Linked DNA regions of Macaca mulatta. The protein of the gene in region 5 purifies or fractionates together with the protein of the main gene of each other region. This does not show direct contact. Links are inferred from orthologs where the notes say so. Each region holds a gene or a part of one and is shown on either strand. Other genes may lie near its edges.

The links.
Region 1: the proteins of PHLPP1 (region 5) and AKT1 purify together in Homo sapiens (affinity purification with western blotting, with the first as the bait; 3 studies listed by BioGRID). This does not show direct contact. The link is inferred for Macaca mulatta from reciprocal best matches to the Homo sapiens genes PHLPP1 and AKT1.
Region 2: the proteins of PHLPP1 (region 5) and USP12 purify together in Homo sapiens (affinity purification with mass spectrometry; 4 studies listed by BioGRID and IntAct, with this or other methods). This does not show direct contact. The link is inferred for Macaca mulatta from reciprocal best matches to the Homo sapiens genes PHLPP1 and USP12.
Region 3: the proteins of PHLPP1 (region 5) and USP46 purify together in Homo sapiens (affinity purification with mass spectrometry; 7 studies listed by BioGRID and IntAct, counting the BioPlex papers as one, with this or other methods). This does not show direct contact. The link is inferred for Macaca mulatta from reciprocal best matches to the Homo sapiens genes PHLPP1 and USP46.
Region 4: the proteins of PHLPP1 (region 5) and WDR20 purify together in Homo sapiens (affinity purification with mass spectrometry; 4 studies listed by BioGRID and IntAct, with this or other methods). This does not show direct contact. The link is inferred for Macaca mulatta from reciprocal best matches to the Homo sapiens genes PHLPP1 and WDR20.
Region 6: the proteins of PHLPP1 (region 5) and WDR48 purify together in Homo sapiens (affinity purification with mass spectrometry; 5 studies listed by BioGRID and IntAct, with this or other methods). This does not show direct contact. The link is inferred for Macaca mulatta from reciprocal best matches to the Homo sapiens genes PHLPP1 and WDR48.
Region 7: the proteins of PHLPP1 (region 5) and SUGT1 purify together in Homo sapiens (affinity purification with mass spectrometry; 5 studies listed by BioGRID and IntAct, with this or other methods). This does not show direct contact. The link is inferred for Macaca mulatta from reciprocal best matches to the Homo sapiens genes PHLPP1 and SUGT1.

What each region holds. Positions count from the first base shown.
Region 1 is NC_133412.1:178,211,574-178,215,073, reverse strand, and holds part of AKT1 (RAC-alpha serine/threonine-protein kinase), read left to right. Parts: intron 1-655; coding exon 656-724; intron 725-1,078; coding exon 1,079-1,204; intron 1,205-1,282; coding exon 1,283-1,411; intron 1,412-1,561; coding exon 1,562-1,776; intron 1,777-2,202; coding exon 2,203-2,290; intron 2,291-3,500. UniProt on the Homo sapiens protein: AKT1 is one of 3 closely related serine/threonine-protein kinases (AKT1, AKT2 and AKT3) called the AKT kinase, and which regulate many processes including metabolism, proliferation, cell survival, growth and angiogenesis.
Region 2 is NC_133422.1:7,160,896-7,164,395, reverse strand, and holds part of USP12 (ubiquitin carboxyl-terminal hydrolase 12), read left to right. Parts: intron 1-1,590; coding exon 1,591-1,788; intron 1,789-3,500. UniProt on the Homo sapiens protein: Deubiquitinating enzyme that plays various roles in the regulation of the immune response and inflammation.
Region 3 is NC_133410.1:80,909,083-80,912,582, forward strand, and holds part of USP46 (ubiquitin carboxyl-terminal hydrolase 46), read left to right. Parts: intron 1-1,560; coding exon 1,561-1,758; intron 1,759-2,991; exon of another isoform or gene 2,992-3,089; intron 3,090-3,500. UniProt on the Homo sapiens protein: Deubiquitinating enzyme that plays a role in behavior, possibly by regulating GABA action. May act by mediating the deubiquitination of GAD1/GAD67.
Region 4 is NC_133412.1:175,491,952-175,495,894, forward strand, and holds the start of WDR20 (WD repeat-containing protein 20), read left to right. Parts: upstream 1-1,143; 5' UTR 1,144-1,179; coding exon 1,180-1,428; coding exon of another isoform or gene 1,429-1,464; exon of another isoform or gene 1,465-2,744; intron 2,745-3,943. UniProt on the Homo sapiens protein: Regulator of deubiquitinating complexes. Activates deubiquitinating activity of complexes containing USP12. Anchors at the base of the ubiquitin-contacting loop of USP12 and remotely modulates the catalytic center of the enzyme.
Region 5 is NC_133423.1:17,992,867-17,996,366, reverse strand, and holds part of PHLPP1 (PH domain leucine-rich repeat-containing protein phosphatase 1), read left to right. Parts: intron 1-1,750; coding exon 1,751-1,897; intron 1,898-2,518; coding exon 2,519-2,749; intron 2,750-3,500. UniProt on the Homo sapiens protein: Protein phosphatase involved in regulation of Akt and PKC signaling.
Region 6 is NC_133407.1:101,351,243-101,355,451, forward strand, and holds the start of WDR48 (WD repeat-containing protein 48), read left to right. Parts: upstream 1-1,409; 5' UTR 1,410-1,427; coding exon 1,428-1,475; intron 1,476-4,209. UniProt on the Homo sapiens protein: Regulator of deubiquitinating complexes, which acts as a strong activator of USP1, USP12 and USP46. Enhances the USP1-mediated deubiquitination of FANCD2; USP1 being almost inactive by itself.
Region 7 is NC_133422.1:31,930,778-31,934,277, forward strand, and holds part of SUGT1 (protein SGT1 homolog), read left to right. Parts: intron 1-621; coding exon 622-729; intron 730-3,500. UniProt on the Homo sapiens protein: May play a role in ubiquitination and subsequent proteasomal degradation of target proteins.

The DNA.
Region 1 (3,500 bases), on a different chromosome or scaffold from region 5:
GCCAGGGCTCTGGTGCTGGGAGCACTGCCCCCTGTTGAGGTCCCAACCCGCCCTGGAGACCTGAGCCCAGGCCACTTTGCTCACCTTTCAAACACTCCTTGGCGCCTCAGGGGCTGCCAGGGCCCAGCCTGATGGCGTGGTGTGGGGGTGTGGCATGAGGCAGTGTGATGTGGGGGTGTGTGGTGTGGGACAATGTGGTGTGAGACAGTGTGATGTGGGGGTGTGTGGTGTGGGACAATGTGGTGTGAGGCAGTGTGATGTGGGGGTGTGTGGTGTGGGACAATGTGGTGTGAGACAGTGTGATGTGGGGGTGTGTGGTGTGGGACAATGTGGTGTGAGACAGTGTGATGTGGGGGTGTGTGGTGTGGGACAATGTGGTGTGAGGCAGTGTGATGTGGGGGTGTGGTGCGGGGCAGCGTGGTGTGGGGCAGCGTGGTATCGGGCAATGTGGTGTGAGGCAGCGTGGCGTGGGGCTACGGGTGGCATGGTATCGGGTGGCATGGTATCAAGCAGCATGGTATCAGGCAGCGTGGTGTCGGGCAGCATGGTGTGGGGCTACGGGTGGCATGGTATCAAGCAGCATGGTATCGGGCAGCGTGGTGTGGGGCTGCTGTCCTGCCCGTGGGGCTGCAGTTCCAGCTCCGCTTCCTTGCAGGCCCTGAAGTACTCCTTCCAGACCCACGACCGCCTCTGCTTCGTCATGGAGTACGCCAATGGGGGCGAGGTAGGGGCTGGGGCTGCGGGGGATGGGCCTCACGGCCTGTGGACCCAGCCCTGGCAGCTGGGCCACCCATAGTGGGGCTGGTCCTTCCCGGAACCTCGGCTACTCTCCACAGCACCAGACGGTGCTCCCTGCTGGGTGGGTGGTATGACGCCTGCCCAGGCAGCTGCCTGCTGTGGGGTGACTTGTTCCTGCTGAGTTAGGGCTTCTGAGACTTTCCAGGCCCCCGTGCCCTCTGGGGGCTGGTCCCTTCCCTGTGCCCAATGCCCTGAGCCCCTGCCTGAGAAACCCCAACCCTGCAGGCCGTGGGGGCAGAGGCCCCGGCCACGGCTGTGCCTCAGGTCGTGCTTCCCACAGCTCTTCTTCCACCTGTCCCGGGAGCGTGTGTTCTCTGAGGACCGGGCCCGCTTCTATGGCGCCGAGATCGTGTCAGCCCTGGACTACCTGCACTCGGAGAAGAATGTGGTGTACCGGGACCTCAAGGTGCGCCGGCGGGCACTCGGGGTGGGGGCAGGGCCCTGGGAGCCTGGCGGCACTGACCTGAGGCCACCTTTCCCCTAGCTGGAGAACCTCATGCTGGACAAGGACGGGCACATTAAGATCACAGACTTCGGGCTGTGCAAGGAGGGGATCAAGGACGGCGCCACCATGAAGACCTTCTGCGGCACACCTGAGTACCTGGCCCCCGAGGTGTGCGCCCCACCTGTGTGCATACGCGTCGCTGTGTCCCCACGTCCCGAGCACACGCAAAGCTGTGTCCTCTCTGTGCCCCAAGCACGTCACGACACCTCCCCCGGACACCCCCTGATGCCGAGTCCTGCCCATCTGCCGCCCGTGCAGGTGCTGGAGGACAATGACTACGGCCGTGCGGTGGACTGGTGGGGGCTGGGCGTGGTCATGTATGAGATGATGTGCGGCCGCCTGCCCTTCTACAACCAGGACCACGAGAAGCTTTTTGAGCTCATCCTCATGGAGGAGATCCGCTTCCCGCGCACGCTTGGTCCTGAGGCCAAGTCCTTGCTCTCAGGGCTGCTCAAGAAGGACCCCAAGCAGAGGTGAGGGCCACCCATCCCGGCTGCAGGCTCCACCTCCATCCCCTCACCCCCAGGCTGCACCTGCCCCTGTGCCAGGCGGTCCTGGCACCTCCCAGACTACACTGACAGCCAGAGCTTGATGTCCTTGGCCAGGGCTGATCCCCAAAGCCTCAGGCACAGGCAGAGTGGCTGGGTAGGGCAGGGTCAGTTGGGCCTCCATCCCCAACCCTGCAGCCCCCACACCCCCAACTCAGGAAGCCCCTGCCTGCCGTGAGCCCTGGGGTGCTTTGCTCCCCACAGCTGCTCAGGGATGCTGCACCACCGGTTGCCCTCCCTGGCCCCAGAACGTCCTGTCCGGCGGGCCCTACATCACAGGAGGAAGGGGTCTGAGCCTGGGGCCTGGGCGGGTGGCAGTACCGACACCGTGGCCTTGTTTGCTACCCGCAGGCTTGGCGGGGGCTCTGAGGACGCCAAGGAGATCATGCAGCATCGCTTCTTTGCCGGCATCGTGTGGCAGCACGTGTATGAGAAGAAGGTGCGGCTGCTTCCCGCATATCCACACTCACGCATGCACGTGGCACGCTCGCCGGATTTCCCACACACCTGCCCTCACCTCGGGAGCCTGCTGCAGTCCTGGTACAAGGAGGGCCTTGCTGCAGCAACCTCAGTGCCTGCTGCTCAGAAGCTCTGGCACTGCTGGCTTCCTCCAGGAAACTGGCCTGGTCCTCCTCATTTCCTCCTCCCCTCAGAGATGTGTCACACTCTGAGTGCCAGCCTTGGGGGTCCCTTCCCTGATGCTGTGCAGTGAAGGCTGGCTGGCGGTGGACCAGGGGTGCTGCTCCTTGCTCTCTACCAGTTCCTCCTGTTGTCTGATCTCAATCCTTTATGCTGCAAGGAGAGCCCAGCCCTACTTTCTGGCTGTGCAGGGACGGGACAGCACCTACTTTCCTGGCACATGGGGGAGTCCGCCCTGGAGGGAGGCAGCTCTGTCTACATGAGTCGCCATCCTGGGTGCTCATCTTTCAGGAGCCCTGGCCGTCACCCTGGCTGATGGGGTCTGCTGGCTAGGTTCAGAATCCTGCACTCTGAGGTGCTGGGTGCCCTGTCACCAGGTGTGCTTCTGCCCAGTTCCCAGCCTGCCCCTCCCCTGAATGCCTGTCCCAGGCCATGTGCAGCTGGTCAGGCTGGGCAGCCCTGGGACCCAGCTGGGCACCTGTCCTCCCATTAACACAGGGTGCCCTGGCCCTGGTCCCAGTTCCTGCCCTGAGGCCTGCCACCCTCCAGCCCTGCCCTGCCCTTCAAGGGTATGGGGGGCCTGGGCAGTGCTCAGCCTCTGCCCAGCCTTGACCAGAGACCTTGCTAATTGACAATGGACAGTGCTGGTGCCCAGGCCAGACTTGGGTGGGGCAGTGCTTGAGGGAATCCTTGACTGTGGGACCTGAGGGGCTCTCTGGCAGCTCCTCACATGTGCACATCGCCTTATAGTCACCCTTGATCCTGGGTCATCGAGAGTCCTCTCTGCAGCCAGATGCCAGGAGGCTGCGATCCTGTAGTCCCTGAGCCATGGAGGCAGGGTGCGCTCATCCTGTGCACCCTGTTCCACAGTCTCCCTCTTTCCCAATTTACAAGAAGACTAATAAAAATAAGAAAACAAGAAAGAAAAAGCAAAAATAAAGTCATCACCTACTGGTAGCAGGGACGGTCTCAGAGCTGGGCCGCACTACCTCCTGTCGCCTGCTGGGCTG
Region 2 (3,500 bases), on a different chromosome or scaffold from region 5:
GTCTTTTGCATCTACCATCCATTGGAAATTCTCAAAGGATACCTTGATGCTTTGTAAAGATTTCGTTTCAGGAACTCTACATGGGTAATTCATAGTTGAATTAAATTTTATGTATAATTTTACATCCTGACTTCTTAAGTATTTTCCCATGTCACCTGGAAACTTTCATCAGCAGTGTTTTATTTAAGTTGTACAACACTCTGTTATGTTTGAAGTCTAATTTATTTCTACATTTCCTGTTGTTGAATAGTTGGGATTTTTTACAATGTAAAAGAACTCTACAAGTAGATTATTCTCATAAGGGATGTTTTTGAGATTATATATTTAATTTATGTTTCTAGAAATAGGATTAGTGAGACAAAGGCCGTAAAGGCTCCCAATTTATATTGCTGGATTGCTTTCTAGGAGTGACTAGTTGTTTACCTTTACTTTGGCTAATGTTTCCAAAAGGCCAAGTTACTCGAATAGTAAGTAATTTAGGAATAATAAGCTATCCACCATATTTAAGACATGTAGAATGCAGATTTAGTATAATGTTATAAAATGATTTTTCACTTATTAGAGACAGTGGCTTACCATATATCTCACTTGTTTAAATTGTGAGGAGTATTTTGCTTCACCAGACCCATTTAAAATTCAGTTCTGCAACATTTGGCATCTATCCTATGTCAGGCATGTTGCTAGATAGTGGGGAAATAAAAATGAAGGGAATGCTTTCTAGCTGCCACGAGTTCAGGGCCTAGAAGAAAAGAACCGTAATCACCTAAAATTGTTACCATGTAATAAGCTTGACATATATAAAGTGAACCTGTAAAGCGCTGATGGAGGATTGAAGAGAGCAGGTATTTGTGCCAGAGGGTGTGACATTTGAGCTGAGCCATTAAAAGAATAGATTTTTAGGTGAAGTAGGAGTACAAAGGCACTCTCAGGGAGAAATGGCATTTAAAGGCATAATAAAGATTATTTAGAACATGAAGAACAGCCTGTGTTTCACAATTAAAAACTTAACTCCTAAGTTTCCAGGTTATTTTATTCCCTTTCTAGGATATACATAGTCATTTTTCTTAATATGGAATTATTTCTTGTCTCTGACAAGCACCTTGAATGGTCTGTAGCGCTTTTGTTGTTTTAGTCTCCTATTGTCAGTCTGTACCTGCATCATATAGATTGATAGAAAAACTAGATTTCAGTCTACCCAAGTCCAAAGGAATTGTCAGTTTCAAGAAACTTGTTTTCCCTCTACCACTCTTGAGCACCCTGTGCATTTAGCCTTATTATAAGAGATGTGTGTGTGAAAAATACAGATTCCTTAACCAAGGACTAATGCCATTCCATCTGTTTCGGAGCCATGTTGAGTGCTATGTCAAATTATGTGGTGTGGCGATGATCGGTAGGGTGGGATCGTCCTAAGATGTTCAGAACATTGTTTTGTCATTATAAAAATAATTGGTAGAAATGTGCGAAACTGGGCAGTGCTGGGCTATTAAAACTGACCATTGACTATCTGTTCGTTGGATATCATAGTTTGATAATTCAAGGACATGGTGGATATCTTTTGTGAAATTTTGTTTTCATTTTTATTTTTAATAGGATGAAAGTTAAAAAACTGCCCATGATTCTAGCTCTACACCTGAAGAGATTTAAATATATGGATCAACTTCATCGATATACAAAACTCTCTTACCGGGTAGTTTTCCCTTTAGAACTTCGTCTATTTAACACTTCAGGTGATGCCACCAATCCAGACAGAATGTACGACCTGGTTGCTGTTGTGGTTCACTGTGGAAGGTAATTGCAACTCCGGGGACATAGTAGTGGAATTTCTAGGTTAGAAGAGCAGTGTATATTCAAGATGTTCATGAATTATTCAAATGCAGAACTTTTAGAAATTCTGTATTCTTCTCAAGATAATTTTATTTCAAAATGGAGTTTTAGCTTTACATTTTATCATTCCTTAAAAATTTTATATGTTAAAATATATTGTTTTTATTTTTATTATTTATTACTCTGCAAGTACTATATCTGATTTCCTAGAACTTTGAGATCTGTTAGTTTTCCTTTTTTGGGGTGTGTGTATAGAGGGTTGTTGGTTAAAATAAATCACTTCTGAGTTTAATTGCATATGTTCAGCATATCAGTGGTTGTAAAAAGCATTTAAAATGGCATTGGAAGTAATCTTCAAAGATTCATTTTTTGATTTTACCTGGGTGTGTATTTATCATTTCCTATTAGCTAATTTTGCTTTCTGTCTCCTTCTCATCTTCTTTTCCAACGTGGTATACACATCTTCTCTGTATGAACATACATACCTGTAACTGACCTTATTAAATACATCAAAAAATTCTCAAACTGCAAGAGCATCACATAATCAGAACTTGTATTTGGAACATAACCGTCTTCATTGACTGCTTAGAATTTCCTTTAATAATTTTAAAGCAGGCACTCATCATTTTCCCCTTGGTTTTGGGAAACTTGTACTAACAGCATGTTTTATCCAAATAAAAAAAGTTCCAGCTTTCTCCACTTCAGCCCTCCTCCCAGCTCTCTGATTAGAATTTTTTTTTTTTTTTTTGGAGACAGAGTCTCGCTCTGTCGCCCAGGCTGGAGTGCAGTGGTGCCATCTCGGCTCACTGCAAGCTCCGCCTTCCGCATTCAAGCCATTCTCCTGCTTCAGCCTCCCAAGTAGCTGGGACTACAGGCGCCCACCACCATGCCCGGGTAATTTTTTGTATTTTTAGTAGAGAGTTTCACCGTGTTAGCCAGGATGGTCTGAATCTCCTGACCTGGTGATCCGCCTGCCTCAGCCTCCCAAAGTGCTGGGATTACAGACGTGAGCCACCATGCCCAGCCTCTGATCAGAATTTTTAAGGACAACCCGGAGGGAGCAAATACTCTGTAATAATCGTCTTGTACCTCCATTGCCTGGGTCAGCCTTGGGTCCCGTCTTTTATCCTCAGCAAGAATCTTTCTTCTACTTCTAAATTAAGAGTGATCACATCTTAAAGGAGTGAAGCAGTGTCAAGATTACTTAAAGAACCTTGGTGTAGTGATTCAGACCAGGTATTCAAAGTGAGAGAAGCCTGGATCTCAGTACCATTTCTGCCAGTTGTGGGCAGTGTGATGTTATGCAGAGTTTCCTGAAAAGGCTTCAGTTTTCTCTTCTAGAAAATGTAAATAATACTAATTACCTCATTGCTTTGTTGGGATTCAAAAGGAGATGTAAATCAGCTACTGCTACTGTCTTAGTAACAAAAATATAATACTGCCTTCTCACATCCCAGCTCTATAATATTTACTTTCTCACACCCTAATTAGACTGTTCTTTAGCCTCTTCAAATTTAGTAACAGTCCTACTCTACTTAAATTATGTTAGATTTTTAGAATTATGCTCTACTCACAAGACATTGAGTTGAGATGCCTGACTTAGATGGCAACCAGGGTCCCGTCCCCACTCTCTCCTTTTAAAATTAACCCAACCCTTTCCCCACCCTGAAATCCTT
Region 3 (3,500 bases), on a different chromosome or scaffold from region 5:
GCAAAGGCTTCCGTGAGTTAAATCTATCGTCAGTGGTCTGGAGTATTCAAGGCAGCTGGCAGATGCTCAGTACTGCTGTCTAAAACCCTCAGGGGTTTAGACCTGAGGTTGAGATCATTTCTCTGCCCAGCCTTCCCAGGCGTTCACTCCAAACATGTACACTTTTCTTTGCTGCAAAACTTACAGATGGTTAGTCACTGTAGCAGGCAGGCCTCAAGGAGGTAGGTAGATATCTTTTGTTAGTAAAGAAGGTCACTCACGTCTGCCCCCCATCCTTATAACCGCAGTCTGCCTAAGACTGGCCTTGGGTCTTCCTTTGTGGCATTAAGATGTTTTTCGTTCAGCCCTGGGGAGTTTATACATTACAATGTCATGTGTTCCTGTAAAATATGGGGTTCCCCATAATTCTTATTTCTCTAGTGTTGTTTTACTTGCTTATTTGTATGAACAGGGCTTTTCCTTAATAGATTCCTTAAAACTATTCTTTTAAAATTTGTCCTTTTCACATACTATGCATTAAAAATGTATGCAAACTAAACGGCATTTACACTTAATTCAGTACATTCATGGAATGGGGGCCTGGAAGATAACTGGAAGACCCGTTATTCTAGCAGTATACTCTGCATAAACTGTTATCTTTGTGACTTTTTACTGAGGAATGATCAGTTACTAGGTGACTTTTTACTTTTTTTTTGTGACTTTTTACTGAGGAATGATCAGTTACTAGGTGAACGATCACCTAGTAAAAAACCTTTCTATGTTTATATAAGTTTGGGAAGTCCAACATCAAACAACAGAACAATTCCTTTACTGCAGGATTTCTCAAAATCTTCAGTGTGGTAATGTACACTTAGGATCTTCAAAGCAGAAAGTAGCATCGTCCAAACTTAGCCACAGAAACATCACATCTGTTAACATCTCCAGTGCTCTCATGCACCCAGTTTGCAAAATGTAGCCCTAAACCAACCCCTGCATTTTATAAATGAGGAAACTGAGAGCTAGAGAAGGGAAGTGACTTGCCCAAGATCACAAGGGTCGGAATGAGAGTGAGCCTGGCACGCTTGGTGTCCCAGTGCCCAAGAGTGTGTGTCAGAAGCATCCATCTCCTGCCAGTCCTCGGAACCTGTAAGTCCAGCAGTCGGCACCGTCTACCTTGTCCTCCTCCCATCTTCCTGTTCTCAAAAGCTCTCAACCCACCTCTCCATCATCTGAGGGGGTAGACTGTCCAAGTATCATTTCTCTCTGGAAGGCACAGGGCAGTGGTGGAGAACAATTGCACAACCTATTTTTATTTGTACAAAAATTCTGAAACATCTCCTTTCAACAAATAGACACACACCGTTGTACATTTCTCCTGCTGGGATGCTTCTGGGAGCCAGGAATGTAGGTTAAATCAGCTCTATATAAGCCAACATACTTTTATCCTTGCAAACTGTTTGGTTGTTTGCTGGTTTGAAGTTGGATAGAACTTCCTCGTATTCTGTTTGGGCAGGTGACAGTGTATTCTCTTCCCCTAACAGGTGTTGGGTACAACTGATTTTCTATTTCATGGTTTCTTAGGATGAGGGTAAAAAAGCTGCCCATGATCTTGGCCCTGCACCTAAAGCGGTTCAAGTACATGGAGCAGCTGCACAGATACACCAAGCTGTCTTACCGTGTGGTCTTCCCTCTGGAACTCCGGCTCTTCAACACCTCTAGTGATGCGGTGAACTTGGACCGCATGTATGACCTGGTTGCTGTGGTCGTTCACTGTGGCAGGTAAGGGCAAGACTGGAAGCAGACATACAGGGTAAGTGTAAGGGTTGCCCCTTCGCTGAAGTATATCCAGCTGCACCTTTCCTGGGCCGTGGCACTCAGTACTTTTGGGATATCTTCCAAACTCTTACTGATCATCACAAAAAATATGTAAACATGCCTGCAGACACATAAAATAAAGAGCATTCCAATAATGAAAATCTAAGTGTTCTATCATGAGAGAAATCACTTAATAAATCTCCTTTGCATGGAAATGATGGTTATGAGGAATTTGAAATAACATGGAGAAATGTCTATGCTATTATTTTAATTTTTAAAAAGCCAAGTTGCATTTATAGTATGATCTCAAAAGTATTTTAAGATGTGTAAATAAAGACTGGAAGCAGTGGATCAAGTTTAGTATTTTTTTGGCACTTTGAGTGATTAAAAATATATTCTCAAAAATATTCTTTGTTATTTTTATTCTTTCCCCAACATTCTGTAATAAGTATATAATCAGAAAAAAAGATAAGAGAGAGAAGGCCTCTAGATATGGAAAGGCAAAGCATTTTGCCGAAATCCTTTGAGCAGATTTTTTTTTTTTTTTTTTTTTTTTTTGAGACAGAGTCTCGCTCTGTCCCCCAGGCTGGAGTGCAGTGGCACGATCTCGGCTCACTGCAAGCTCCGTCTCCTGGGTTCAGGCCATTCTCCTGCCTCAGCCTCCCGAGTAGCTGGGACTACAGGCGCCTGCCACCGCGCTGGCTAATTTTTTGTATTTTTAGTAGAGACGGGGTTTCACCGTGGTCTCGATCTCCTGACCTTGTGATCCGCCCGCCTCGGCCTCCCAAAGTGTGAGCAGATATTTTTTATTCCATAATTTGGTATAAGGGAAGAAAAATATATTGAAAATTTACCTGTTTGTTATTCTTTGCTCAGCTGGGACAGGTGTATGTTCTGTCTTGGGAGTAGGCACAGCTTTCCCCCGCCCTCGTAGGTTTTAGATTGGGGCGTGTCACAGAGTAAGAGTCTTTCTCCGCCATCTGCTAAAATCGGATTATGGTGAACACACCATTACCAGGAGACTACCATTGCCATGCACAGGAATAGACTGATACATTTTTAATTGTGTACTAGGGTAGATGGCATCAGAAACTGTAACTTTACATGTGAAGCACCCCATATTTTATCCTGCACGTATTAACTTTAAGTCACTGGATGTTTTCTTGTATTCTCAGTAAAATGGTATTTATTTGCTAGTTATATGCCAGTTTTGTGGTGTTCTCCCTGAAGAAGAGCTGTTATTCTTTTGAAGAACACAGTGTTTCAGTGACCTGGAACCTAGCCTTGAGCACTGGGTGAGGCCTCACATTGGTGCAGGGTTCAGGAAGGTCTTAAGGCAGGCAGAGCCTGGGACCTGGTGGGCATTGTGGCTAAAGTGGGTGGCAGGGGTGGTGTGAACAGGAGGGCCCCTTGCACAGGGTACACAGGACTTTCAGTGTGGGTCTCTGTGGGTGCCCAATTCAAATCCTTGGGAGGACTGGCAGAGACCCAGGTGAGGGAACTGGACGTCCAGCGGGAGGCTGGGTTCTCTAAGGTCAGTTTCTGTACTGTGAGCACAAGGTCAGAAGAGCCCTGGTAGCAGAAATCAGTTGGTGCCAAGTCATGCATGCCACTAACTAGGATTCTTCAAACTCCTCCCCACAGAAGTAGCATTGTTCTCCTGTGTGGAGCAGGGTTGGCCTATGCATGTGGATTGGGTGGCTTCC
Region 4 (3,943 bases), on a different chromosome or scaffold from region 5:
CCTCCCTGGAATTCTATTAGAATGTTTCTGTCACTTTAGAAACTTTCCTATTCTGGTGCAACATGCCAAGAAACCCAGGTATAAAATAGTGATTGTTTAATCTTACTTTGACACGTGTGCCCGTTCTTACAAATCTAGACCCTGTACATTACATGCATACAACTATCCCTATGGATCTCCTAGTAAATAATCTCACTGACTCCACCTGAGGCTTCTGGAAAAAAAAAACCAATTACCTTAAATTTTATTAAGAGCTCTTCGTAAACTACTGAGCAAGAGAAGTGAATCCTGCATAGATTCAGTCCCCGGTTCCCAGAGCGCTTCCCCGCCGCGTGTCTCTGAACAGTTGGAAAGGACAAACCTCCGCTAAGAAGCGGAGGCCGCCAGTGCTCACCACACATAGGAATTAGGATATTCATGCTGTACCACATTCTTCTCTACCCCTACCCGGCCTGAAATAAAACATAGTGAAGCGTAAATCTTGAGTACTTCGGTACCTTCTCAGAAACGGCGGCGAGGAGGCTTCCAAGGGGCTTGCTTCCTGACCGGGGATCAAGACGGTCGCGCGGGTAGTCAGCACTCTCTCTGGGCGGGACAGTCCCCGTCCCGAAGGGAGGGCCCAGGAGGGGTGGAGCCGTCCCCGCCCGAACACAGGGGCATCCGCGCTCCCTGTAGGGTACCCCGCGTGCTGGCCCCGAAGCGGTGGCAGTCGGGGTGGCGCTCTTCCTCCGCTCTTTGGGGTCCCGGCGCCCCTCAGGGCAGGGGGGGAGACCGCTGAGGAAGCACCCTCAAGTTCACCTCAGGCTCCTGACACCAGCCCCGCCGCGGTTCCCCATGATCGGCTTTCCGTTGGTCCTAGTGGCTGCGGAACCGTCAACTAGACCCCACCGGCTGGAACCAACATCACCTGGGAAGCAGCCGGGCCGCCCGGAGGCCACGCCCGGGGGAGGAGCCTGCGGACGCCCAGCCGGGTGGAGCACGCCAGGTGAGCACGCCTGCGCAGTCGGGCCGTAAACAAGCCCGCCCCTTCCCTTCGGCCCGCCTTCGCGGGGCTGGCCCGCGGGTGGGAGGGGCGACAAGGAAAAGGCAAGGGGTGGGGGAAGAGGGAGCACCGGGAACAGCGCCTGCGCGGTGGGCGTGATCCGGGCACTTAGGGCAGGATGAACGCTGCTTTCCAAGATGGCGACGGAGGGAGGAGGGAAGGAGATGAACGAGATTAAGACCCAATTCACCACCCGGGAAGGTCTGTACAAGCTGCTGCCACACTCGGAGTACAGCCGGCCCAACCGGGTGCCCTTCAACTCGCAGGGATCCAACCCTGTCCGCGTCTCCTTCGTAAACCTCAACGACCAGTCTGGCAACGGCGACCGCCTCTGCTTCAATGTGGGCCGGGAGCTCTACTTCTATATCTACAAGGGGGTCCGCAAGGTACCGACCCGGGCGTCACCGGGGTCAGCCAGCGGCGTAGGCAGAGGCGGGAGCAGGGCGGTGACAGTGGGGCCAGGGTGACCGAGGGGGTGGCCGTCGCTCTTACTTTTGAGTGGGCCGGTAACTCCCTCCACTGGGGTACTCCTGAGGAGAGGGGATTCAGGAGTAAGGAGGGTGGTGGCGGTGGCATTTCGAAGGGGTGGGGGCTGTGGAAAGGAACCGTGGGACGCGGGGTTCTGGCTGGGAGGCTCCCAGGGGAGCCGGCTGCGTCCCCTCCAGCCTGGTCCATCAGGCTCTGACATGGCCAGGGAGCGGGCCTGCGAGTCCCCGGAAGAGATGGGGTGGCCGTCTTGTCTGCTTCGATTGCCTCGCCTCCCTGGAGGGTTGGAAGTCTCGCCCTGGGTTAGAGAACAGGGGCGCAAGACGGCTTAACAAGATCTCTGTAAGGCGGAACTGGGGCCGGGAAGCCGGAGACTGAGACTAGGTCAGAAAGAACCTGCTCGGCACGCAGGGCTACTCCACCTGCTGCCGCACTGACACTTCCTAGGAGCCTCTCCTGGTGTTAACATTTCTATTTCCAAAAACATCCGCGGGAGGTCGGCTGTCAGTGTCCGCCGAGGGGACGTTCTGAAAGACTGTTAAGGAGAGTCATCTTGTCCCTTGTAGTATGCGAAGGGCTGAGTACTACAGTTGAAATGATGTTTGCAATGAACTAAGCTGGTTCAGAGGGGTTGTGTGTGAGAGTGCCCAGATTAGTCTTGTCCAACAAGTCAGACTGTGTCCCAAACGGGGAGGGATAATGCCTTAAAGGCTACTTTAAAGGGACCATCCTTCTTGGCGGGCGAGTTACCAGTAATGCTCTGAAGCATATAAGCATCCTTTAAAAGTATCTCTTTAAAAGCAGCCATTTATTAGAGCTTTTCTTTCATTGGCTATGTAACTGTGTTTTCACTGAGAATTGCTTAGTTTTGAGATTGTAGTCTTTGACTTGATGTTATGGAAGAGTGAGGAAATAAATGCATCCCACAGCACCTCCAAATAGGACAAGGTGATAAAAGATTAATTCGCAAATGCATGTTAGCATGAAAATAAATTGTTCATATTGAAGAGTGAACATTCCCTAGGATTTCATATAGCCAGATCCAGTGCAGGATTTTCGCTTGTTACAAGAGCTAGGGAAATGACAGTGGTATCTAAATGTAGCAAAGTTGTTTCTTTCATTCACGGTGAATCTTTTTTATTAGTGTTTATGATAATAAGTGTACCACTGTATTTAGAGTATACTATTAGAAGTTATTGAGGGTAAATCGCTTGACCTTTTTTTTTTTTTTTTTTTTTTTTTCTCCCTCTTTTGGAATTGCAAACGCTTGAAGTAGTCTTCAGTCTAGGGGCTGAAGTTTTACTCCTACTCCCAACTTTGTCACTGACTTGTTGGGTGACCTTGGATAAGTTATTTAACTTCTATTTGCACCTCTTTAAAAAGGGAATGTTACAGTGCACGTTGTAACTAATAATATAATAATCGTAATGAATTTTAAGGCTCTGAAACACTCAGTAGATGTAAAATATAGTTAAAGAAATACTAAGTAACTGTCAAATAAGAAGCTGCCGTCTTGACGTTGATGTTCAGAGTGAAAGGATTGATTTTGTTTCTGGAAATTAAGTTTAGAATTTTAAGTTTTAAAAATTTATATAAAAATACAATGTGCTTAAAAACTAAATTCACTAACTAGCAATTATTAATGCAGGAATTACTTTAAAATTTTTTTTTCTTTGAAGGTTATTACTTCTGAAGCATCCTAATGGCAAACCTTATCTGGATCTGGTAGCCCTGGTTTACATCATAAAGACAAGTTTCTTGCCTGAAAGGATCCTTACAATAGTGTTCTCTTTTAGTGGGACGCTATTCTCTGAAGGGTAAAAGGAGGCAAGGCTTTTAAAACTACACCAAAAAATTATTTTAAACAAGATAAATCTGAAATACGTAAATTGCCCTTACCTGCATAATTTGAGTGTTTTAACGTTTTTTTGGGTCAAATTTCATTTTCATGTGGTAGTATCATAGATACATTTGCATTATGTTGCAGATGTTTCTGCTCTCTTTTAATTGTAACTTAAAATTTTTTTTCCATTAATGAGTTTGCATTTATTGTTACTTCTGAGTGTAAGTGATTTTTTGTGGCTATTTTCTGATTTAAAATATAGGAAATAAATTTTCCTTAATTGGAAAACCAAGATTTACTCTTTAGAGTTAGTAGTTATAAACCTATTTTTGACCGATGGCCATTAAACATGTTTTTATTTTTGTTTTTAGAGACAGGATCTCATTCTGTTGCCTAGGCTGGAGTGCGGTGGCATGCTTATAGTTCACTACAGCCTCAAACTCCTGGGCTCAGATGATCTTCTCACTTCAGCCTTCCTAGTGGCTGGAACTACAGGTGTGCACCACCATGCCTGGCTAATTAAAAACAAAAAAATGTTTTTTAGAGATGGAGGTCTTGCCGTGTTGCCCAGG
Region 5 (3,500 bases):
CTTGAACTCCTGACCTCAAGTGATCTGCCCACCTTGGCCTCCCAAAGTGCTGGGATTACAGGCATGAGCCACTGCACCCGGCTGAGGATAAGCATTCTTTTAAGAAGGACTGATGGCTCTAATATAAAACAGTTTAAGAACGATTATTCAGATTTAGCAATAATTTTTTCCTAAGTGATTTTTTTTTTAAATACTATTCTCTTATACTCAGCCATCCAAGTAAACAGGTATTATTTAAAAATCAAGGTAACACTCAACCTGTCAAATAGGTACATTGTCAACTTTCCCTTTAGAATCAACTTTTATTTAACTATTTAGAATACAGCTTAACATATGCTGATTGGGTTGAATTGCGTTTATTTTTGCAGTGTGTGTGTCTCTTCTAGGCAGAGTGCATACTGTCTAGTATTAGATGTGGGTAATCTAGTTTTTAAAGGAATTAGCATAACGCAGTCACTGATCTGATTCTTATCTCATTTAGAGATGGTGTAGAGGTCGTTGATAGGCCAAATGTAAGAGTGCACAGAGAAGTAAAAAATGAAAGATAGCTTCTTTAATTGCTTAAGTTGCTTGGGCAACTGTGAAAATGAAAGGGCTATTAACAAAAATAGAACAAAAAGAAGTGCCAGTTTGGAATAAAGATGGTAAGTTCAGTTTTGGGCTGGAAATGTGGGGTAGCTCAGGAGAGGAGCCAGCATGTGACAGGACTGAGAGAATTGTTCACATAGGAGTCAAAACATTTCCAAGGAAAACAGTGTAGAGAGAGCATGAAACTGATAAAAAAAAAAAAAACTATCTATGAAGATTACTTCAGTTTGAGTTGGGGAAGAAAAGATGAAGAAAAGGAAGTTAATACAGGAGAAGAAGGCTTAAGAGAGCTAAGAAGAAGGGTGGGTGGTCAGCCGCATCAGTCAATTACTGTACTGAGATCGACGAATGATAATTGGTTCTTTTTTGAGATAGAGTCTCACTGTGTCACCAGGCTATATATTCCAGGAGAGCAGTCTCAGCTCACTGCAACCTCCACCTCCCAGAGATTCTCTTGTGTCTCAGCCTCTCGAGTAGCTGAGATTACAGGCATGCACCACCATGCCCAGCTAATTTTTTGTGTTTTTGGTAGAGACAGGGTTTCACCATGTTGTCTAGGCTGGTCCCGAACTCCTGGTTTCAAGTGATCCACTCATCTCGGCCTCCCAAAGTGCTAGGATTACAGGCCTGAGCCACCATGCCCAGCTGATAATTGGTTGTTAAATTTGGAACTGCAAAGTCCTGGTTACCTTAGAGAGAGTATTGTTTTGATAAGTTTTTATTATTTCACTTTTGGGTTTGAGAAACATGAAACAGAAGTTTTTGACTTGTCTGGAACAGCACAGATTCCAGAAGGACTAACTCCAGCTCTGACTGGTCCCTTTCCTCCTTCACTGGGGCCATTTACACTGTGTTAATTAAGCTAATTGAGATACTGCTAAAAAACTTACTCCAGCAGAATTCACTTCCTGAAATATTCAACCTTATTTTAGAGGGAAAAGTTTGTTTTTAGATAGAATGTTTACATTTTAGGTAGAGCACTGGCCTTAGAGTCAGCAGATGTGCATTCCAGCGCTGCTGCTCCTTAACCTCTCTGGGGCCCCCATTTCCTCTTCAGTTGAATTTGGGAGTTGGGCTAGATTATCTCTTAGGCTATGCTAAAATTATGATGTTAGTGACATTTGTCTCTTTTTTCCCTTTTGGTTTTGCTTTATTTTAATAGGTTCACCAAGTTGAAGAGTCTTAATCTTTCCAATAATCATTTAGGGGACTTCCCACTAGCAGTCTGCAGTATTCCAACCCTGGCAGAGCTGAATGTGTCCTGCAATGCCCTGCGATCGGTCCCAGCAGCCGTTGGAGTGATGCACAAGTGTGTACCTCAAACCCCACTGGCGGGTATATCCAGAGACCCCAGGGAAGCTGCATTGGGGGTGTAGCACATGAGATTAGTTAACTTGTTATGTTGGTCATGTAAGTCTTGGCCCCAAATCAACAGATCAGGGACTGTATAGTCTGTATGGAGTTCATGTGTTAGATTTGTATTCTTTACGATCTTGTAAAAAATTAAATATTCTTGTTTAGAACTGAAGATCCCTGCAAATGAGTATGTCTAAACATGGAATGTGGGTTATGTTCTCATTTTTCTGAGTTATATTGAATTCAAAGACTTAGAAATTAATTTTGAGAAATAATAAGGAAAGCCCAAAGGATATCTGAATCAATTTATATCACAGTTAGCTCATGTTGCTCCCATTTAAGCCTATTCAGATTGGGAAAGCTAGTCATAATTTTCATTTTCAATAAAAGATTAAGATGCTTATCTCTGATTATTTCTCTTTGGTCCGTTATTGCCTCAGGCCCTGCCCTTAGGCATTTTGCAAAGAGTAATACATTTTCTGGTAATACGATCTACACTATGGAACTTGTATGTTGATAATAAAGATGTAAAATTTATACATTCTCTTTGTAATTCTTATGTTTTCTCTAATAGCTTACAGACATTTTTGTTGGATGGAAACTTTCTCCAAACCCTTCCTGCTGAGTTGGAGAACATGAAGCAGCTTAGTTATCTGGGTCTTTCTTTCAATGAATTTACTGACATTCCAGAAGTATTGGAGAAATTGACTGCTGTGGATAAACTTTGTATGTCCGGAAACTGTATGGAGACCCTTAGGCTACAGGCTTTAAGAAAAATGCCTCACATTAAACATGTGGATCTAAGGTAACCATTTTTGAGAAATAGATCTCATTTGAGCTGTTGGCTTATATTGCAGGGGTGGGGAGTAGGTTATTGACCAAGTCAAACAGGCTGGATAATTGAATGTGGACCCATTTTTCTATTTCTGCCTAGAGGGAAGAATTATGATTAATAGTAGGGTTTGCTGTTACTGGAGACTTTCTCACTGATGTATGTCTTGAAGGTCTTTGTTTTGCAAATTGGAACCCAGTTGAGTGAGAGAGCTATTTTTTGGTTTTGTTTTGTATTTTTTGTTGTTGTTGCTGTTTTTAAAGAAATAGGGCCTTGCTCTCTTGCCCCGCCTGGAGTGCAGTGATGTGCTCAGAGCTCTCTTTAGCCTCAAACTCCTGGGCTCAGGTGATCTTCCTGCCTCAGCCTCCCAAATACTCAGGCGTGTTCAGTTTCATCAGTGTAAAGTAGCATCACCTTTTGCTCCCTTTCTTCTCCATTCGTATGGCTCAGCCAAGGAAACCCATACCTTCCAGTCCCACAAAGAATTGCTTGGCTTCACCTTTCCTCAGAATAAAGGAATCAGACCTGTCCTTCCTAGGGAAGTATTAGCAATTTGCAGATATAAAATTCTTAATTTGGAAGTTAAAGTAATTATAATTTATCTGATTTTTGAGAATTTCTTGGAATGTAACAAGATAAGGAACTCTAAACACTTTGTTAACTTGCTTTCCAAATTGTTTACATTATTCGCCTCTGAGTTCCTTCTATTTAGAAAACCCTCATA
Region 6 (4,209 bases), on a different chromosome or scaffold from region 5:
ACTAGAGAGGGCCTGATCACCCTCAGCTCCTATAATTAGTGTCAGTGAAAACCACACTTTCACCCAGAAGGACCTAACTGTTCTAGTATAAGAGATGATTTAAACTAGAACTGGGTTTTCAGTTCAGGGTTTGGAACTGAGTTGTCTCTGGGAACAATTTTAGCTGATGTACCGTTTTCACCTTCCTGTAACATCTTTTTGTCTTTTTTTTTTTTTTTTTTTTTTTTTGAACTTTTAAGTTCAGGGATACAAGTGCAGGTTTGTTATATAGGTGAACTTGTGTCATGGGGGTTTGTTGTACAGACTATTTTGTCACCCAGGTATTTTTTTTTTTTTTTTTTTTTTTTGAGACGTAGTCTCGCTCTGTCCCCCAGGCTGGAGTGCAGTGGCCGGATCTCAGCTCACTGCAAGCTCCACCTCCCAGGTTCACGCCATTCTCCTGCCTCAGCCTCCTGAGTAGCTGGGACTACAGGCGCCCGCCACCGCTCCCCGCTAATTTTTGTATTTTTTTAGTAGAGACGGAGTTTCACGTGTTAGCCAGGATGGTCTCGATCTCCTGACCTCGTGATCCGCCCATCTCGGCCTCCCAAAGTGCTGGGATTACAGGCTTGAGCCACCGCGCCCGGCCTGTCACCCAGGTATTAAGCCTAGTACCCGTTAGTTATTTTTCCTGATCCTCACCCTCCTCCCACCCTCCACCCTCCAAAAGGCCCCAGTGTGTGTTGTCCCCCTCTTTGTGTCCATGTGTTCTCATCATTTGGCTCCTACTTACGAGAACACGCCGTATTTGGTTTCCTGTTCCTTTGTTAGTTTGCTTAAGGAAACGGCCTCCAGTTCCATCATGTCCCTGCAAAGGACATGATCTCGTTCTTTTTCATGGCCCCACTTTTTATCCTTTTAATTTAAATGTATTATTTGCTCTTCCCGAAGATGGAGGCAATCTCCTTTGCAAGGACTTCTATTCTTCCCCCTTTGAGGCCAAGATACAATTCTCCGCATTTTTAGGTACTTAATAGTAAATCACTTGGTTCCCCTGCTTGTCTAGGAAGGGTTAGGAGATCGCCCAGCGCCATGTCTTGCACTGTTAATTCTTTCAGTGCTTTCATTTCGCTTGGACCTCTCGGGGAGGGCCTGGAAAAGAGAGCAAGCCAGGGTCTAGGGCCACACAGAAGTGGATTTGGATTGCTCACTCAGCCCTGAAAAGTGGCTCTCTCCCCATCAGTATTATACTTGCACAATGATTTTGTTTTTAGGTGCATCTACCTCACCACGTGGCTACCGGCCATACAGCAACGAACACCACCTAGGAAACACATATCCTGTCTACCTTCAGACCCGCCACTGATCCTTGGCCAAAGGGAAACGGGCAGAACATCCGCCCGGTCTGAGCCACCTCCGGAAGTGACGTCGGAGTGTCAACATGCAAGATGGCGGCCCATCACCGGCAGAACACAGCAGGGCGGAGGAAAGTGCAGGTATGGAAGCCCGGTTCCTCGGCCTTCCGGACGCGGCTGGCAGCTCCGGGCCCACTCCAGCTAGAAGGTGTCCGGGGCCACGGCCGGCCGGGGTAGCGGCATGGGGCGAACGGGGCGGGGCGCGGCCGGCCTTGAGGGGTGGGGCCGCGGCGCTAACGGCTTGAGGAAGGGGCGGGGGTCGGCCTGCGTGGCCCTTGGGGCCCAGGCCCGGGACCCTCGCGGGCGGCGTTCTGAGCCCGGGATTGCTGGTCGCCGCTTTTCTGTAGGAATGGACTTGCGGGGTCGGGATAGGCTAGTTCCCCGCCCACTTGCCTCCCTCTTCCCCTGCCTTTCTTCGAAGCGCTCTGCCCTCGCTGCGTCTGAGCGGAGGCCTCCAGGGGTTTCCCGGGAGGGTGGGCGTTGGAGGAGTGAGCGGCCTGTGCGGGGGCGTGGCGAGGCGGCGGAGCATCGACGGCCCTGCGGGGTTTCTGCTGAGGATTCCGCACTTGGGAGCCCCCAGCCTTCTCTTATGTTGGAGCTGTCCCCTGGGTAGGTGGAAGTGACATGAGAATGTGCGTGGGGAAATTATAATTTTAATTGGAAATTTAAGTTCGTCTTCACCATTTCTTCACCTTCAGTGTGCATCGCTGAATCTTTCTTTATTGTTTGTATAATTTATTGTCCATGTGGTAAAGAGTTGTCTAATCTTACCGTGTGTGTCTTGTGCCTTGTGCCTTTGTGAATTCACTTTTGTTTGGGGTTACGCTTAAGAGTTATTGCCACTTCGGGGAACATCACACACCGTGGCCTGTCGGGGTCTGGGGGAGGGATAGCATTAGGAGAAATACCTAATGTAAATGAGTTGATGGGTGCAGCAAATCAGCATGGCACATGTATACCTGTGTAGCAAACCTGCACGTTATGCACATATATCCTAGAACTTAAAGTATAATAATAAAAAAAGTTATTGCCATTTAATATTTTCCGTGATGCAGGGAATAAAAGCCCTCTTACAGGTGTTTGCCTGCAGGTGTATTGTATGTGGTAGTGGCAGTTTGGTGCATTTATTCTTTAAACATTTACCTAGCACTTAGAGTGGCCCCCAGAGGGGAAAAGGGATTGAAAGGTTGTAGGAATAATTTACACCTAGGCTTTCTTTATAAAACACAGCATTATATGGAGTTCTGCAGGTTGAAATCAAGTGTCAGATGAAGGTGGTTAGATAAAGGGATCCTTCAGTAAGGTAATCCCAGCAGAAGGTGGTAGGTTATAAAGTCTTCTGAGTAGTTCACATCTTGGTTTTATTGATCTCATTGATCAGCACAGTGTCTTAAGCACTCACTGTATGTTTGTTGAAATGAGTGAAATTAATGAGTCTAAACTCACTCTGTTAGGTGAGTTTTTCAGTGCATTAGTGATAGGATTTCAGTATCACCAGCATCCAAGGCAGGTAGTGAGAATGTCTCCTCTGGATGGAAATATAACTCAAAATTGTAACCTGATTGTATTACAAGTCTATAACACTATATGGTGGTATACTTCTCAGGGGAATAAGGGTAGTTCATCAGGCCTTTCAGTTTATTGCATTAAGACTTAAAAGTCCTATTACTGCAGTGTGTTCCCTGCTTGCTTCCTTCCCAGGCCTACCCACTCCCAAAATGCATGCAATAAAGTATATATATTTTAAAAAGACTTACAAGGCAATTGTACTAGTATGGGATGAAGAAAATGTAAATTAACTGCAGCAGGTTTGGAAAACCAATGTTTTAATAGGCTGAATGTGAGCCAGTGCATGTAGAATGAGACAGGTGATGGATAATGCCACTTTTCACTGGTCAGAATAAAAAATTAGAGTTTGCTCTTCCGCACTTAGGACCGTGTTCTTCATAGGTAGCAGTCAGATTGGTGAACTGACTTGAAATTATTTCCTATGAAGAACTTTTGAAAGAGCTGTCTGAGATTAACCTGCTGAAGAGAAGATTCAGGTAGCTTTCAGAATTTGTCCCCAAGGTATAGAAGCAGCCTGAGAAGCCACAGGATTGATTTCATCTGAACCATCATTGTCTATGAGGTGTTATTTAAACTAATGAGTGTTCATTGTAAAAATCCCAGCAAACAAAAGTATAGATTAGAGTTGCCCTCCATGCTTCCGAGAAAGCTGCTGTGGGCAATGTCATGTTTTAATCCTAGACCAGAGTTTATCAACCTGAGCATTCTTGAAATTTTCGTCTGGATAATTCTTGGCTGTGTCTGAGGGAGGGAGCTGTCTTACGCATCACAGGTTCTTTAGCATCATCCCTGGCTTCTACCAACTAGATGTGGTAGCATCTCCCTGGTTGTGACAACTAAAAATGTCTCCAGACGTTTTCAGATGTCCCCTCGAGGGCAAAACTGCTGCTGGTTGAGAACCACTGTTCTGTACCTCTTCCTGCTTGTGTACCTGACTTAACGTGATTTTTTTTTTTGCTATAAGTGGAGCCATAGTATTCACTGTTTTGTGTCTTGCTTTGTCAAATTTTTAAATAAACACTCCCTTTAGCCCAGAATTCCTTATCTAAAAATATATTCTACAAATTTGCATATGCATATATCTGTCCCTACTTATGCAAGGGTGTTGTGTGAAGCCATTCTTGAATTGCTATAAAGAAATACCTGAGACTGGCTCATTTATAAAGAAAAGAGACATAATTGGCTCACAGTTCTATAGGCTTTACAGGAAGTATGGTGCTGGGATCTGCTCGTCTTCCAGGGAGGC
Region 7 (3,500 bases), on a different chromosome or scaffold from region 5:
AATTCTTCTGCCTCAGCCTCCTGAGTAGTTGGGACTACAGGCCCATCACACTGTGCCTGGCGAATTTTTGTAGCAATGGAGTTTTGCCGTGTTGGCCAGGCTGTTGTTGAACTCCTAACCTCAAGTGATCCACCCACCTCAGCCTCCCAAAGTGCTGGGATTAGAGGCATGAATCACTGTGCCCAGCCTCTTGAGTATGACTTTTAACAACTTGATTTCTTAGCATTTAGTAGAGAACCTTTTAATAGATAATTTCGAAGAGATAGTGATAGAGCTGTATGTTTTGCAGATGAATTACTTTTTGTTATATATCATTTTGCTTTTGTATGTTTTCTTGAGATTTAAATGTCAAATAGGTGTGATTATATGACAAATATTATGAAACTTACTCTTTTCTGCTGTTTAATGATATATATAAGAATTCATGTCAAGGATAACAGATGGAAAAAAAAAAAAAGGTTCTTAAATCTTTCAGAACCTTTTGAGGTTCTTAAATCTAAAATCCCATATGTAATGTTTAAAATAATTTGTAACATTGAAGATTTATAATTATTTTGTCTAGGTTTTTTACCCTCCATTATATACATTTGCAAAATGTGATGGTAATTTTGTGTTCATTAGTTGTCTGCTTTGGTTAAACTTCCTTCTGGAGAGGATTACAATTTGAAACTGGAACTTCTTCATCCTATAATACCAGAACAGAGCACGTTTAAAGTACTTTCAACAAAGGTAAGACAATTGAAAAGGTTTGTTGCTAGTAATATTTTCAGAATTATAGAAATACTGGTGAACTGATCACCGATGTGTTTATGAGCTTGTAGATTCTTTCAGCCCTTTATATTTACAAGGGACAGGGAAAAGAAGAATGATAACTTTTGAGTGTAAGGGTTATTTTACCTCTCAAATTCTAGTACAGTAAAGTGTAAAAATCCACTTAGCTTGTGTGGTGTTTGTGCACTTATTAAAACAGATATAATGTTTTTCAATAAAGAGATTTTTTTAAAAGATACAATAATGAGCCTATCTTTTAAGATTGGATACTGGCCGGGCGCGGTGGCTCAAGCCTGTAATCCCAGCACTTTGGGAGGCCGAGACGGGCGGATCACGAGGTCAGGAGATCAAGACCATCCGGGCTAACACGGTGAAACCCCGTCTCTACTAAAAATACAAAGAATTAGCCGGGCGTGGTGGCGGGCGCCTGTAGTCCCAGCTACTCGGGAGGCTGAGGCAGGAGAATGGTGTAAACCCTGGAGGCAGAGCTTGCAGTGAGCTGAGATCCGGCCACTGTACTCCAGCCTGGGTGACAGAGCGAGACTCCGTCTCAAAAAAAAAAAAAAAAAAAAAAAGATTGGATACCGACAGTGTCTCTTCTCTTGAACTTGTCAGTTTTGTTTGTTTTGATGTACACATACTTTTCTCACCCTACCTCATGCAGTTAAAAATACAAACTACTATAAAGATGAATCCTTCTTTTTTTTTTTTTTTTGAGATAGAGTCTTCTTCTGTCGCCCAGGCTGAAGTGCAGTGGCACTGTCTCGGCTCACTGCAACCTCTGCCTCCTGGATTCAAGCAGTTCTCCTGCTTTAGCCTCCCAAGTAGCTGGGACTACAGGCATGTGCCACCACACCCTGCTAAATTTTTGTATTTTTAGTGGAGATGGGGTTTCACCATGTTGGCCAGGCTGGTCTGCAGGTCCTGACCTTGTCCTTTTTTTTTTTTTTTTTTTTTTTTAATTAAAATGAATTTTACGTTACTTTGTAATGAGGGAACAATGAATAAATTATAGTTTGAGTAGTTTTTAGATTCCTTTATAGTTTCTAAAAGAAGTAGAGATATACAATAGAATTAATGTTCAGAGAGTATCACTCAAAAGATGTAGATAGTAGTGTAATTTAGTAGGAAAAATACTGAATTGAAAATTTAAAAATCTGACTCTGGATCTTTGCTTGCCCTGTGAATTTAGTCTAGGCACAAAATGACTATAAGACTGAATTTTCAGCACCTTTGAAGGAGGGCTGTGGACCAAATGAACTCTGGAGTCCTTTCAGCTGTAGAATTGTGTGAAGGTATATGATAAATGAGTTAATGGGAATAAATGATATAGGTAGGCTTTTTCCATTACTTTTTTTTTTTTTTGAGATGGAGTCTAGCTGTGTCACCAGGCTGAAGTACAGTGGTGTGATCTCGGCTCACTGCAACCTCCGCCTCCTTGAATCGGGTTCAAGTGATTCTCCTGCCTCAGCCTCCTGAGTAGCTGGGATTATAGTCACGTACTGCCACACTCAGCTAATTTTTGTATTTTTAGTAGAGACGGGATTTCACTATGTTGGCCAGGATAGTCTTGATCTCCTGACCTCGTGATCCGCCCACCTTGGCCTCCCGAACTGCTGGGATTACAGATGTGAGCCACTGCACCTGGCCTACTACTTTTTTATACACAAGTCCTGCAGCATACTGTGCTACTATTTATTAGGTTGAAGCTCTAAGGACATGTGAAGCTTCCTGTTGTGGAACAGGATCGGGGCTGGCCTGTGTCGTGAAGAATGATATTTGGGCTTGCAAAAAGGAGACAGCTGCAGAGTGTTGGAGAAGGAAGTGCAAAGTGAAGTAGTTTTTGCATCTAGTTAAAAAGGATCTGCCTATTTATTTGAAGATTGTCAAGAACAAAGCTGGTTAATTATGAGGCAGATTTTTGAAATAGCTGCTGGGGACAGTAGAAATTGAGGAAAGGGACAAAATCTTACCAGGATTTTGGTCTGTCACTGGTCCTATCCACATAGTATAGAATTTGTTTAATAAAAGAATTATTTTGAGTAATCAAGCACAAAATAGGTAGATTTGAGAGGGATATAGTTCAGAAAATTATGAATTTGACTTTTTTTGATATGTCTATCGAGATTGCTAATGCAAGTGAGCCGAAATCACGCCACTGAACTCCAGCCTGGGCAACAGTGAGAGAGACTCTGTCTCAAAAAAAAAAAAAAAAAAAAGTTAATGCATGTCCATTTGGAGTTATTTAAATCGAGTGTGAATAAATGATAAATGACTTAAGAACTTATATTACTGAGCCACCTCCTATGGTGGAAGAATATCATGTGTGGCAAATACACAGATGTGTGGCAAGAGTCGAGGATAATTAAGCATTCTTACCTCTTTTTTCTCTTTTGAGTCTTGGATTTGTTAATTTTAACCATTCTTCAACCATACTACTGTGTTCTCAGTTTGCCTCTTCTGCCCCTTTCCTCTTTAAATACTAAGTGACTGCTTTTCTTTCTTGTATAGTAGTTTATGTATACATTTCATGTCCCTCATTTCTATGCAAGTCCTTGAGGATAAGAAGCATGTTTTATTTGTATCTTTGTACGTGCCCCAGTTAGGATCCCCAGATAAAGTACAAGATGCTCACTTAAGTTTGTATTTCAGATAAACAATGAATATTTTATGTAAGTATGTTTCATGCTATATTTTTATTTGTCAAACTTGGCAGCCCTCACCACATA